2 linked regions of the Callithrix jacchus genome follow. The protein of the gene in region 2 purifies or fractionates together with the protein of the main gene of each other region. This does not show direct contact. Links are inferred from orthologs where the notes say so. Each region holds a gene or a part of one and is shown on either strand. Other genes may lie near its edges.

Region 1 (4,023 bases), on a different chromosome or scaffold from region 2:
TCCCAATTACCCAACTGAAAAGCAAACAGTAATTAGTCAATTATGTTTATTTAGAGGGGGAAAAAGCCAATTAAAAGCCTTTTCTGAATGAGACTTATTTAATGGCTAATAAAAGTATCAAATGTCTTAGGCAGAATCACAAACCTTTCTCAGAAGTGTCAGCAGAGTAGATTTATCTATGGAAGTCCAAATTCTGTAGCCTGTCTCTAAAGTCTGGAGACTCTACCTACTTGCTGCATTTCTGTATCATCCTCATGTTAGGCTAACTATGGCATTACTCCAGATTTCCAACATTAAATCATTAATTTCTTCCCTTCACGTTATTAGTATGAATTGACATCTTTGTGCAGGATTAACATTTGCTAGATCCCAGTGTCCACTGTGAGAAATGAATTCCTTACTTTATTGATTTTTGTGTCAAATCTAAAATATGTATTTCTTTATAGTCGCTTTACCATTAAAATGAAAGGGTATACATGTGAGATTCCACTTACTATCTTAATAGTTTATTATGAGTTTGTACTTAAGCTTTAATAATCCTAAAAGGTGTTTTTTTTTTTTGCTTTTGTTGAGGTTATCTCAATTCTCCTCTCACAAAAAAACCTTCAAGGACAAAACGAGATGTTATGAAATGCTACATAGGTTATAATGTAAGTCACTAGCAAAGCCTTCAGTTTATGTATGCACACTTTCTGTAAGGAGTATATAGTTTGTCGTTAGTACAATAGAAGAAATGACCAAGTATTTTCAAAGTTCATTTTGCAGAACATTTTTATAAATGTATTACAAAAGGGTATAACTGCTATGAGGAATAATTTTAGAAATTTAACATATTTTCCTTAAAATGTAATGAGCTACAAATTACCTATTAAATTATTACCTATTTGCAAAAAATACTTCTTAAAACATTAAATTCTTACCTCACAAGACTGCTTGCTTTCCATTATCTTTAAAATAGAGTCTTTCAAAGCATGATGAACAAACTGTGTAGCAGTGGCTTTCATATACTGCTCCATCAAGGTGCTTGCAAGTGTTGTGGCTCGAAATAGGGTAGTGGCTTCATCTATGCAAATATTTACATTAGAAGATTATTTGTTGAGGACTCAATGTGACCAAATTGGAAATTAAGTGAATTCATCTTACCTCAACAGGAACAGCCTTTTAAATGTACTTTTTGCATGCAACATTGAAGTACTAATTACAATGACATCCTATACTTCTACAACTTAACTCTGTAAGACTTTCAGATGTATTACCTCATCATATCATGAACAGGAGAAGAGATTAACACTGCATGTTTATATGGAAAAATGAAGACTCAGAATGGTTATGTGACTTGTCTAAGATCAATTAGCTAGTGACAAAATTAGGACCATAAATCAGCTGTGTTGTCCAAGGACCCCATGCTTTGAAATTTGGGTATTTATTTAGAATTACGAATATAACACAAAAAATCCCAATATAGATTCATTTATTAGCCTAAAACATGTCTGATGAGTTGCAGTAAAATTTTAATAAACGACAAATGCTGTCAGAAAAGATAAACTCAATGTAAAATAAGGACCACCATTTTATCTATTCCTTGACAAATTATATACCTTTATAATTTTTATGAGGAGGACATAGTTCTAAACTTTACTATTTGGGGAATCTAGAAGCAAGAACTGTTACTGAATCAAAGTGCTTGGTCGGAGGGGCAGGGAGAGGATAATTATTTCGATGTATTTATAAGTCATTAAAAACTGTGTGTCCATCAGCTTGGGAACTACCTATCTATAAAAGCTAGAAATAAAAGGCAGGTGACACCCAACTTCTGTGCAATGACGTAAAAAGTAAGAGAATATAGTTAAGTATGCCAGACTTTTCTTGATAGTCAAGCACTATGAGCCATCGATGTGGACACAGATACCACTTTCTTGGAGCTTCTAATACTCATCTGCCAAAACCTCCATTAGAAATATTAGCTCCCCAAAGTAACCGACATAAGCAGAACATCCAACTGCAATTTTTAATAAGGGAAAACAGATTAACTTGATTTGCATTTTAACAATTTAGTATATTCAGAGATAGAGTCCATATATGCGTGATATAAAATCTAAACCCAGTTTCTTAAAGTTTCACACTAACACAGCCATACTATACCTTCCATGCTTATTTCTCTGTCATTTAGTGTGCATAACAACAACGATTCAAGCTTTTCATGAAGAAAAATCCTCAGTAGGATGCTGGCCAGTAGTGTTCGGTCTTGTCCACATACATGTGATAAAGCATAGACTACATGAAGTTCCTTTTGCAGTATAAGCTAAAATGACATTTTAAAAGATGGTTTAAAGTACACAGCATTAAGCATTCTTTCTTTCATAAGTTCTTAATAATTAAAATGCCCCACTGAATACATTTATTTAAAATAGAATACATTCATAGTCTACCTATTTCTAGTCTAATCAAAATCACACTATAATACAAGGTTTTTAATCTTCTCTGGTGTCACTGTGCCACTAAGCTATGAATTACTATGTCTAGCTTAATGGATCTTTTATTAAATGTTTATGTTAATTCTAACAAAAATTAGACAAATAATACCTCTTTAAATTCACTGTACTCTTCTTCTGGCATGATTTTTTCCATAGAATATCGTGCTCGAACACGCAGGGACCCTGGTTCAATACCTTTTAATGGTATATGGGAGCTGAGCAAAAACCATTCATCTGTGGCATGCCCTTTCTGTAATCGGCTCAACTGGCAACGCATAAATACTTGGGAAGAAAAACAAGCAATTATTATCTAAAAAGATAACATGATAATTAGTCATGCAAGTAAATTTTCCTGGTGTTCAGTCTTCTCAATGGTGTTAAATTCTTTTCATTAAAAAAGTTTTCAGTAACATCACAAATTCAATATTTAACTGCTTCATTCATTTATTGAATGTCTACCATGCACTAAACTCTGATAGGTGGGGGAAGTATAGAGAAGATTCAGATGTGGTCTTTAAGTTGCACGGGGGTCAGTTTATTCCAGATGGCAAGAAATCAGTCATGTTTCAGCATTGATAAGTGCTGTTAACAGTGGTGAATGCTATTGGAATACAGAGAAACCATATCTAATTCAGCCTGTGGCGGTGAAAACTCCATTTTAAACAGGCAACCCTTAAGCTGCCAAGATCTGGAGGTATATCTAAGAAGAAAAGTCGTGAAAAAAGAACACTTTATATATAAGGCATGGCCTGCTTTCTTTGTCATTACTGTGGGGTTGGGATTTTATCGTAAAAGGGAAAACTAAAATTAGTACAAAAAAAATTACAGAATAAACATTTTATAGAGAAATATTTAGGCTTTGATCTGTCTGTTAATACATATCACTTCCTTCCCTAAGCCTGAGTTTTAAGAAGGCATTAACCTAATTCACCCCGATGTGATTGGTAAATCCCACTGCCAACTGTTTTAGTAGCAGGATGGAAAGAGTTGTGCTGCTAAGAACAGGAACTGAGAGCCTTTGACTACCAGAAGTGAATAAATGACATATTCAAGGTTAAGGGTAATTTTTAAATAGAATTCTTTTTTGCTTATATGCTAATGTAATACTAGCACTTTGGGAGGCCGAGGTGGGTGGATCACCTGAGGTATGGAGTTCGAGACCAGCCTGCCCAACATGGTGAAACCCCATCTCTACTAAAAGTACAAAATTTAGCTGGGCATGGTGGCAGGCACCTGTGATCCTAGCTACTCAGGTGGCTGAGGCAGGAGAATCACTTGAATGTGAGAGGCAGAGGTTGCAGTGAGCCAAGTTCCTGCCACTGCACTCCAGCCTGGGTGACAAGAGTGAGACGCCATCTCAAAAGAAAACATGAAAAATCTAAAAAGTAGAAAGAAGGGATGAGGGTAAGCCCTTCAAAACGACCACTGTAATCATTTTCTTATTCTTCCTATTCATTGGAGAAAGGAGGGTGGCTAGATATTTTAAAGTACTTAACTGTACAGTTGAATCAGGTTGGTGTTTTCTTTCTTAGGTATATTCTTTCTCAAT
Region 2 (3,600 bases):
TCAAGAATGGCTTCAGAAAGACAGAGTACGAATTATTCCATAACCAGAAAAAGGCCTTGTGGCTGGAGACTGGAGAGTGAAGGGTCACCTGTGAGAGATGAAACCGATCCTATAGAACCTGCTGGGCCAAGCAGGGAGTGTGGATTTTAGGTGCAATGGGAATTCATGGAGGGTTTTAGGCTGGATGTAGCAGACCATGATTTAATTTCATTTAAAAATTTTAAAGCATGGAGAATAGATCCAGGCAAGACCAAACAGAATAAATAGTCTGGGTGACAGGAGATAGGGCCTTCAGCTTGTGGGTTGAGTGAACAAGTCATGATGGATTGGAGGTGAGGGAGAGAGATGAATCAAAGTTATCTGCAAGGTTTTTGGCCTTGCAACGTAGAGGGGTTTAGCACCACGTTCTGATAAAGTGAAGACTATGGAAGGAACCTTTAGGGAGGGAAGGTCAGTCGCCTAAGCGGGGATGTGGAACGTAGGGGAGCCACAGGTTTGAAGTCATCGGTGCCTTTGTGGTGGGTAAAGTCAGGGGAAAGGTCAGGTAGCCTTGGGATCTGACCTAGCACTGAGTACAGAGGAACAGAAGCTTCTGAGATCGATGGGCAGCGGCCACAGGAAGGGAAAGCAAGGCGGGGAAAATAAAAGTTCAGGAGAGCATTTGCAGGAGGGACGCTGTGAGGTAGGGTCTGAGCCCGCGCCCCGGATCGGACCCAAGTCCTGCTCGTGGGGACTGAGCGTGAGTGGGGCGAGCAGCGGCCCATGCGAGGGACAGACACCAAGGCCCTGGGAGCTGCAGGTCAGGCCGCTTAACAGCGCGGCCGCGGACCTAAAGGCCCTACAAGAGGTGCTCACGCTTGGGGGGAACTCTCTGAACGAGAGGACCATTGAAGGACACCCTGGCAGCAGAGACGAAACAGACAGACGTGGGGTCAGGTCGTCGCAAGAGCGGCCTGCGGGCCAGCCCCGCACTACCAGGGGGAGGGGGCGGGACAGGCTGGCTGTCCATCAGTGCCCGCGGCCAATCCGCAGGCGGCCCCGCCCCCGCCCCTCCCAGGAGAGGGCGCGCGGAGGACCCGCCGCCGCCGCCGCCGCCGCCGCGGGTGTGAGCGGCCCGGCCTGTCTCCCTTCGCTAGGAAGCCCGCCCAGGTAACTGGGTTTGGCCAGGCATGCCCGGGGAGTGCGTCACCCCCTCACGTCCCGTCCCGGTCGCTGCATGGGCGGTGTTCGGGACGCGGGGGTTGCGTCTGTGCAGAACCGCGGGCTGGCGGCCGCCCGTGCGAGTGCGCCTGACTGACGCGCCGACCGCGGGGCCTGCGGCCTGTGGGCGGGGCTGCCGTGCGTGACGGGGTCGGTCGTGGCCGCCGAGCTGTGTCCCGGGCCGCGTGAGGAAGCCCTGCGGGACTGAGGGCTGGGTGGGTCGACCGGGAACGGCGCGCGCTCCCGTCGCCATCGTGCCCCCGTCCCTGCCTGCGGCCTGTCTGGGGGTCCCGGAGCGCAGGCGCGGCGGGCCGGCGGGCGGGGGTCCTCCCCACGGGTGCGCGGGCGCCTTTGTTCCCGGCGGCTAGCCGGGCGGAGCCTCAGGGCCGCCCCGCCCCGCCGCGCTCAGGCCCCGCCCCTGTCCGCCTGCAGGAGCTGCCGCCGGGTCCCGCTCGTCGGCTGCCTCAGCCTCTGCCCCAACCTCTGCTGCCGCCTGCTCCCGGGCCGTCCCGGCCTGCGCCGCTGCCGCCCCCAGCGTCAGAGCCATGGCGGGCGCCGCGTCCCCCTGCGCCAACGGCTGCGGGCCCAGCGCGCCCTCGGACGCCGAGGTGCTGCACCTCTGCCGCAGCCTCGAGGTGGGCACCGTCATGACTTTGTTCTACTCTAAGAAGTCGCAGCGACCCGAGCGGAAGACCTTCCAGGTCAAGCTGGAGACGCGCCAGATCACGTGGAGCCGGGGCGTCGACAAGATCGAGGGGGCCAGTAAGTGCGCCCCCTTCCCGCCTGGGCCCGCCGCGAGCGGAGGTGGTAGGGGCCGGGCCCGTCTGTCCGCGCTCGGGTCGGCCGCCCGGGAGACTTGGGCAAACTTTCCGGCTCTCATCCACTCCCTCCGGGCCCCGCCCCCGCTTCGTCTCGGGTGGTCACTGGGGGCGGGGGGCATCCGGGTCCTCGGTCACCTGACAGGACACCCCCTCTCCCAGCTGGGGGGAGTGTTCCAGGCACTTTGTCCTGAGGCCTAAAAATCCTCGGGGGCTGGAGACCCGCGGTGCCGACGTCAGGTCCCCCAACCACTGGGAGTGGTGGCGGCGTCGGCGAGGGGAGCCAAGGCAGCGGCCCCCACCCAGCCGGGGAACTTGGGGCCTGACCAGACAGTCCCCGTCCACCACTCTTTCTCCAGAAAGAGCAGTCTGTGAAACTGGGCCCCCAGGCTGGGCTGTTATTTGCAAAGGAACTTTTGGGTTTCCTAAGTAGAACTTAGGCAGATGTTGGGGGAAGGGCTGGTCTTGGAGCAGAGCCCGGCCTACTCATCTCCCTCTGGGGGAGAGGGAGGAAGGTGGTCTTGTTTGGTTTGGAGAAACCTGAGAGAAGGCAGTGGCTGGTTTATTGTTATTGTTATTGTTATTGTTATTTGCTGCTACTTTTGTCCCAAAGCTGAGTTTTGGAGGCCTGTGTGGGTGGGCAGACACCCAAAGCCAGAGCAGGGACTCCCCTTGCCCTGGGAAGCACATTCCCAGGAGATGAGCCCCGTAAAGGCCTGCCCCAGTGCCTTGGAGTCAGGTACTCTTCTCAAGAGTGCAGCCAGTTTGGAGTCTAGCCCTTTGTCCTCTGTCCGGTGGCATCAGGGAGCTGGAGCTCTTGGTTTCCTGCCTTTTCGCCTTCCCAGGCCTGAGCTTGGCTGCTTTAGCGCTGGCCTCTAGTGGGAGGAGGGAATTGGGGGATTGTGAAAAACCCCAGATTTTTCAGAGTTGTTCCACTTATCGTGTGCCTGTGCTGTGGCCAGAGGGGCACTCTGCTCAGCCCTCCATTCCCCCCCTGTCAGTGTGAAGAGATGATGTGTCTGCAACTCCAGACTGGGTTGCTTCTTGCAGGGACCCCTGGAGACTGGGGTTAGAGAGACCCAGGCTCAGAACCAGGTCTGTGTGAAGGAGGGGTTCAGGAAGTGACACTCCAAGGGGGGGGTCCCGCAAACCTTGGGTACGGTGTGCATGTGTGTAGATGGGCGAGGAGATTGGGAGGAAGGAAGGTCTTGTGGTGAGGCAGCCATCCTCGGCTACAAACTCCAAATCTGACACAGATCTAACACAGCTGCTCAACTTAGAAATGGCAGCCGCCTTCCTCAGTGCCCTCACTGACCCTGTCAGCCATTGGGAGAACATTTTAGTGACTTGAGAGCCCGTGGATTCCAAAGTGAAGGAAGGATAGATAACTGCAAAGAACTGAGTTAACTCTGGGAACATTACTCAGGCATCAGACTCCAGGCATAGTCCCTTTCCTTGCTCTCTCTGCTATGTTGAGTCGGTGGCCCTGGATGGAAGTTCTCTCAGATCTCCTGGGTAACTGACTGCATTTTAAACCATGCATATTATCAGCAGGCAAAAAATGTAGCACAGTGTTTGATGG

The links.
Region 1: the proteins of PLCG1 (region 2) and RASA1 purify together in Homo sapiens (affinity purification with western blotting; 3 studies listed by BioGRID and IntAct, with this or other methods). This does not show direct contact. The link is inferred for Callithrix jacchus from reciprocal best matches to the Homo sapiens genes PLCG1 and RASA1.

Annotation. Positions count from the first base shown.
Region 1 is NC_133503.1:123,500,208-123,504,230, forward strand, and holds part of RASA1 (ras GTPase-activating protein 1), read right to left. Parts: exon of another isoform or gene 2,757-4,023; coding exon 2,584-2,756; intron 2,303-2,583; coding exon 2,143-2,302; intron 1,064-2,142; coding exon 921-1,063; intron 651-920; exon of another isoform or gene 574-650; intron 1-573. UniProt on the Homo sapiens protein: Inhibitory regulator of the Ras-cyclic AMP pathway. Stimulates the GTPase of normal but not oncogenic Ras p21; this stimulation may be further increased in the presence of NCK1.
Region 2 is NC_133506.1:36,482,049-36,485,648, forward strand, and holds the start of PLCG1 (1-phosphatidylinositol 4,5-bisphosphate phosphodiesterase gamma-1), read left to right. Parts: upstream 1-1,084; 5' UTR 1,085-1,149; intron 1,150-1,632; 5' UTR 1,633-1,745; coding exon 1,746-1,962; intron 1,963-3,600. UniProt on the Homo sapiens protein: Mediates the production of the second messenger molecules diacylglycerol (DAG) and inositol 1,4,5-trisphosphate (IP3). Plays an important role in the regulation of intracellular signaling cascades.